Linked DNA regions of Arabidopsis thaliana. The protein of the gene in region 1 interacts with the protein of each later gene in a pairwise test. Each region holds a gene or a part of one and is shown in the gene's direction. Other genes may lie near its edges.

The links.
Region 2: the proteins of LBD40 (region 1) and TINY2 interact in a two-hybrid assay, tested with the Arabidopsis thaliana proteins (one large-scale study listed by BioGRID).

Annotation. Positions count from the first base shown.
Region 1 is NC_003070.9:25,051,761-25,055,611, forward strand, and holds LBD40 (LOB domain-containing protein 40), read left to right. Parts: upstream 1-1,912; 5' UTR 1,913-2,040; coding exon 2,041-2,230; intron 2,231-2,387; coding exon 2,388-2,899; 3' UTR 2,900-3,104; downstream 3,105-3,851.
Region 2 is NC_003076.8:3,726,941-3,730,601, reverse strand, and holds TINY2 (Integrase-type DNA-binding superfamily protein), read left to right. Parts: upstream 1-1,875; 5' UTR 1,876-2,102; coding exon 2,103-2,813; 3' UTR 2,814-3,149; downstream 3,150-3,661.

The DNA of each region.
Region 1 (3,851 bases):
TCCATTTTCGTATTTGTCAATTAAGAGAATTTGTATTTATTTGTTTATTATAAGACGACAATAAGAAAGACGACAAAAAATTTTATTCGTATGCTTATATTTTGTATGCATCTATTTTTCTACCTCTTACCTATGCATTTTTATTTTAATGAATTATCATATCTGTTTGTCAATCACTTCTATAGCAATATGATAATTTGGTTGAAACTGTATTTATCCATACGTCTATCTAAACATGTATATATACCATTTGAATTTTTCAAAAACATAATATATATACATATAGGAATTAGGTTATTGACTTATTGTTTATCTTACAATATGTTAAGTTATTTGATATAGAAAATTATTGTACAACTTTATACAGGTCTTCTAAATTACCTGAAACGACAACAAATTTATTTCATACTAGTATATATCATATAGCATATATAGCTTTCACATTCGTCTGTAACTGGTCTTTCAGAAAAATTGACTCTATAGAGTCTACTAGCTATAGTTATGATTGTTCGCATGATTATATTATTAGTTAAAGTGGAGACAATCGTATTAATCGTGTGATAGCCGGCAGAAGAAAAAATAAATCGTTTTATCCGTTAAAATTATATATATTTTGTTTTACTGTATTTTTCTAGTTTTTAACTAAGTTTTATCTTTATATAAATAATTATAAATGTTTATATAATGTTTGATATACTTAAATAAATATTTTATCTAAACTTTGTTTGCGATTTGACATTTTTAACATTTTTGATAGATATTTATATATTTTCTATAATTTTAATTTTTAACTGTTTCTAAACCTTAATAATAATTAATAGATTGTGTGTGCGTTTTTTTCTTTATTTTATTAAAGAAGTAATAGAAATAATTCAAACATCACCATTCAATGATGGGTGTTTCAATGGAAGAAACTACCAAATCTAACCAATAAACGTTGGCATCTATTCACCTAAAAGTAAAAATTGTAGAGCCTATATTAGTCAAAGTGATCCATGCAGATAATTTATTAGTAGGTCTTTCGATATTAATGTTGATATATACTAGAGCCTATAGAAGTCAAAGTGATTCCATTAAGATAATTTATTAAGTAGGTATTTGGATATTAATATTAATTATCAGAATTATGTATGGAGCTACATAATGTGTAACCGCTCAGAAAACGCGGCGATTCGACCAAACTCTGTTACCACAATGTCTCCGCCACGCGATCACACTTTTGCGCTTGCATGCGAACGTTGAAATTCGAACCTCTCATCTCTCTATTTACCATTTTACCCTCTAGTAATTTCGTTTTCAAAATTTACTATCTCCAAATATTTTGGCAGTCCATTATTAATTGCCGAACATTAAACTGCGGTCTAGACAAAAACAAACGGCGGTCAGATATAAACAACTAACCAAAAAAATAAAATACTTGACTGGTTTTGGACATTTTCGTCGATGATGATCACGCGCTACGAATGAGAGCCAAAGACAAAGCTCAACGGGCTTCCATATATATTTCATATTTATTAGTAACTATTTTCCCCAAAAAAAAAAATATATATTATTAGTAACTACAAACAAACAAACAAAATGTATAAACCATGAAAATTAAAGATTTTAAAATTTTATAACTATACAAATAGTATGAGAAGCTTTGTTTATTTTTATAAACACATAATAACAGTTTGAAAAAATTACTTACCTAAATAAAGGTAATATTCTCGTAATTTACTAAAATAATTCATACAAAATATAAAAACAATTACAAAACTCTTCTTTTTTGGGCTCTTTACATCTTATTTATACTTTGAAAATTACGATATCCATTTAGAGAAAAATATAACATGCACGTCACAAATTTATTTATTTTTTGAAAAAAATTACACACAAAGAAAACGACAACTTCGTTCCTTGTTAATTGTTATGATCTCTCCGACCAAACCCAAGCAGCTTCTCCCTCTTAAATACCTCTTCCTTCTTCTAAGATCTCTGGACCATTCTGTACTTTCCCTCAAACCCAAAACACATTTTGTTTTTTGTTTCCCATCTAAAATGCGTATGAGTTGTAACGGATGTCGAGTTCTACGAAAAGGCTGCAGTGAAAACTGTAGCATAAGACCTTGTCTTCAATGGATCAAATCCGCTGAATCTCAAGCCAACGCCACCGTCTTCCTCGCCAAGTTTTATGGCCGTGCGGGGCTCATGAACCTCCTCAACACCGGTCCTGACCACCTCCGTCCTGGTATTCAAACTTCCCATGCATGTTATGTTTTTTGTTTGTTATGGTTAATTGCGAAGTTCTGGACGGAATCTCTCATACATCTTTTTAGGAAACGTAGGATCCTGTTTATTTTTCTAACATGCATCTAATAATTTGGTAATTTTGTTTGTTTTTGCAGCGATATTTAGATCATTGTTGTACGAAGCATGCGGGAGGATTGTGAATCCGATATACGGATCCGTGGGGTTATTGTGGTCAGGAAACTGGCATCTTTGTCAAGCGGCCGTTGAGGCAGTAATGAGAGGCTCACCCGTGACTCCGATCGCATGCGACGCAGCGGTTACTGGTCAAGCACCTCCTTTTAACAACAAGCTTTGCGACATAAGACACGTGTCAAGCAGGGACGAGAACGTTAAGAGACGGAGCCGTGGTGCATGCAAGGAAGAGAGAAACGTGAGGTCTTTGAGTCATGAGTCGTCACTGAGTCACGAGTCACCGGTGTCTTCTGAGGAGACGACGACGGAGGAACCAAAGACTTGGATCGGGCTTGAGCTGACTTTGGGGTTGGAGCCTTTAGCACGTGGAAATCACGTGGTGGTACCGATGAAGAAAAGAAAGTTAGAGAGGTGTGGCACGTCTGAGGATGAGGACACGTGTAAGATTGAGCTTGGACTGGTGTGCAGTGAGTGAATGGTTCTTTTTTTGTGGCTGGTCTTAATTACAAGTTTTGGTGTTGAGTTTTAGGTGTACAAATAGAGATTAACGAATCTCTCTTTTTTCTCTTTTTGAGTTTTATGTTTTGTTTTGTTTTCTTTTGCATGTTCGGTGTTCTTCATAAATATGTATGATGAATGATAAAGAGGTCTTAACTTAACAAATCTTGGTTCGGATCGACATAACAAACATTTCTTCTTTCCATTCTAAATTCTTGATTTTACTCATGTACTTAAACAAACGATGCAATTGATGTAAACACGTTTATCCCAATAAATTTTGTATTTTATTTATATAAAAAAAAACTTAACAAATCTTCTATTTCAGAAATATCTGGGGTTAGATTACAAAGAATCTAAGTTGCTTAATGATGAAATCTCCATATGATGATTAGTCATTCATTTATAAATATTTTGTCTCAAAAAGCCCTTTTGTATGTGAACCGTGTTACCAAATGACTCAGCAGCTAACATGCATGTGTGTTAGATTTTTGTTCTCGAAGGATATGTGTAGGAACTTAATTAGCTAGAGAAAACGAAAAGGATGAATTATTTTAACTAATTGGGTCGAAATGTGTATTCAGCAGAAAACATAGCCCAACTCTTTCGGACTTGAATCCTGTTTTGTCCATCTATCTTCCCCCCCTATACACTCAATTCTCATACTATCAGATATGCTAAAATAATTAATGCAGTTTCTAGCCTACAGATATTTTGGGCTGTTGTGACTTACTTTTTGATAAATAAGAAGATACTTTTGTTTCCATAAATTTTGATTTCAGAAACTAAAAGTATTATAAGCCAAAAAAATCAATAATATATGTAAAATTATTTGTATGGTGAGTCTGTTTTAATTGTAAAGCTATTCAGTAAAATGCAGTTTGCCAAAGTTAAATCATTAATTAATATATATTTTTTCGGTTAACGGA
Region 2 (3,661 bases), on another chromosome or scaffold:
TTGAATTTTATTAAATCAAATATAAAATAAAGGTTTTAAAAATAAAAAAAAGTTCTTTTTTAATTAAAACATCTTATATTTTGAAATATAGTGAATAATTTTTCTTTTTTTCTATTTTTTCATTCATTACTAGTTAGTTTTGACTTTTAAATAGAGGTTTCAAAATTATTTAATGGTTTTGTAATCCGATTGATTTCATAAACTGTTCTCGTGTTCTAACAATATTTTCAAAACAATTAAACTATTTTCGTTCTCGTCTTAAATAGACTTGTAAGAATCTCACATAAAATCTGTTTAACTAGGATAAATATAAAGCAAGAGTCAATATATTCATGTCAATAATTTTTGAATTAGAAACTTGTAAACTCTAAAACCTTTGTTGACCAGTTTTTTTTTTTTTTTAGTAAACTTAAGATGATCAATATTATTGTTAATTAGTATTACGTATATGATCAATATAAAATGCATATACGTATTGCTGAAACGAGAGGCGAAAATACAAACAATTCTCTTCATTGCAAGTACTTAGACATTGCTATTACTTGTGAAAAATCCAAAATGATTATTAAGAGACATTATTTTTTCGTCATTAAGAGACATTTTTTTGGCATGATTATTAAAAGACTTTAGTGTATGTGTATATTTGACAGACACTCGTCCTTCCTTATAGGTACGCAAATACGACCCCATGATTGAACAAGTTATTGTCCCTTAAAATTTCTTGAAGTTTCCTCTACAAACTTCTTTTCTTTATTTGCAATATTGTACCTCTAATTTTGGGGGCTTTTTTTTTTAGTTTGGAAGCAACTTTAACCTAATTAATATCAATTGGCTGGTAGATTTCTTTCTTTTATGGGTCTTACGCCCATATATTTTCTAAGACCAGGACAGAGGTATTAATTATCAATTTACTTACGGTTAAACCCCCTTTAGTACACCTTTTCAAGTCTAAGTATAAAATATCCTCTCAAATGAAATCAGTACAAATTGTGCAATTAATCACACACCATTTGGTGTCTCGAAAAAAAACACTCAGTTACAAATTTCTCCAAAATTTAAAATTTAGCCTCGAAGCATATGGTTTATTGGTTAAGACAAGTTCCTTTAATTAGCCCTCGATATATATAACTAAAGTAAACATATGATACTTACTAAAAAAATTTCCTGAATAAATCTTCAAAAACTGTTGACATTCATATAATATGTTTATAGAAAATCAAAATTTGAAAGACAATAACTCTATATCCGTGTAAATAATATGTATATTAATTCTGATCAAAACTAAATTGCAATTATGGCATATCATATATGTGGATACATATTGCCTTCACATGATGAGCATATATATATACCAATATGTAAATAGGAATGTATGATCCAATGAGTCGAAGATCAAGGTAAAGGATAATTAAACAGTAAAACTGAGGTGAAAATTATCTTACCACACAAAACAAAAAAGGCTTGTCTCATCATGTTCATCTCGGAGACAACTTTCATATAATTTACGTACCCGGCCGAGACAAAATCTCTTTTCAACACTGCCCTTCTAAATATGGTCGTCTCATAATCTTTTAATATACTGAAAAGTATTTTGTTTTCCTAATTTAGTTGCATAATGAGATTTTAAGAACCGGGAAAAATATTAAAGCAAACAGTGACCCCAAGTGTGTCGTTTTATACTAATAACAATATATTCACAATATAGAAATAGAGTGGGTCTGTGAGAAAAACAAAAATAAATGGAGCCACTGGGTCCATTTCCTTTATTCAATTAGACTTATTGCATTGTTTTTGGTCCCATTCCCTCTCTTCTAACCCGTACCCAAATATATTAATGCATATATAAATATTTTGAGTGACTGAGAAATGATAGCCAAAATTTTACCAACATTTTTCTCTTCTCATATCAAAGTTTCTCTCTCATTTCTTCATCACACTTCACTGCCCTGTTTTTTTTCCTCATTTTGAATAGTTCTCAAACTTATATATTTTTCCCCCTGAAGCCTAGCTATTTCTTTTTATTTGCATTAATCTCGGGATCCGAATCGAAAAAAGCAATCAGAATAATAGACTTGTACGATACTTGTGCCTAAGCTAACACAATGGCAGAGGAATACTACAGCCTCCGCTCGGAGAGAGTAACTCAGCTTCTTGTCCCTAACTCGGAGTCTGACTCAGTGAGTGACAAAAGCAAAGCTGAGCAAAGCGAGAAGAAGACTAAACGTGGGAGAGACTCCGGTAAACACCCTGTTTATCGCGGAGTAAGGATGAGGAACTGGGGAAAATGGGTGTCGGAGATTCGTGAGCCGAGGAAGAAATCACGTATTTGGCTGGGAACTTTCCCGACGCCGGAGATGGCGGCGCGTGCACACGACGTGGCGGCTCTGAGCATTAAAGGAACGGCCGCTATACTAAACTTCCCTGAACTCGCTGACTCATTCCCTCGACCCGTTTCATTAAGCCCTCGAGACATTCAGACAGCAGCTCTTAAAGCAGCTCACATGGAACCGACGACGTCGTTTTCATCTTCCACGTCTTCGTCGTCGTCTTTGTCTTCTACGTCTTCGCTCGAGTCTCTTGTGTTGGTGATGGACCTCTCGAGGACTGAGTCGGAGGAGCTCGGTGAGATTGTGGAGCTTCCAAGTCTCGGGGCGAGTTACGACGTCGACTCGGCTAACCTTGGGAACGAGTTTGTCTTCTATGACTCAGTTGACTACTGTTTATATCCGCCGCCGTGGGGACAGTCGTCCGAAGATAACTATGGTCACGGAATTAGCCCTAATTTTGGCCATGGCTTGTCATGGGATCTCTAACAGTTTATTTTGTATCATTACCATAATGTTTTGTTTAAAACAGTTTATTTTGTATCATTGCCATAATGTTTTGTTTAATCACGTTTTTAAAACCCTTTGCTGTTTTTGTTTTTTTTTTGAGTTTTTTGGTGTTAGCTAAGAAAGGTTTTTTTTTTTTTTTTTTTTGGAGCGGGTGTGAGCTCCATAATGATACGTGTACAAAACTCTATTTGTGTTTTTTTTTTGTAATATATAAATATCGGGTTTTTTTGTCGGAAAAGAAGGGAAAATAAAGTGATTTTTTTGTAAGTATCATCAAATGAATAAGCGATAAATAAAAGTCCACTAACTTTATGATATTGTAATAATGCAAATCATCAAAATTTAAAAAACTGTTCAATGTTTTTGTTTTTGTTTTCTTTGACAAAAAAAGTTTTTTTTTTAAAATTATAGGAAATATCTTTAACCATTAATTGTAAATTAGAGTCTCACTATCCCATTCATTTTTGTTTTGTCGACATAAATGGAACGGAGAATGTGAGTTAGGGTAAAAAATGAGGGAAAACACAAAGCAAGAGCAACTTGTCCAAGCTGACGCAAACAATACACAGCCACATATGTACATCCATGCAATACTTTATTATCATCTATTAGTATGTTAATGACCATAATTTCCCACTTTAAAAAATTTGTTAGACAATATAGGCCACACAAATATCATACAACTCGTTCTATTTTAGAATTAAAAAGAGAAAGGCTTATGATAAATTCAGATCTGATTAGCCAGCTCCACAGATGACTTTTTTTTGTTTGTGTTCTTATTCTACGATATGTTAAGATTAAAGACTAATTTATCAAAATTTCATAAT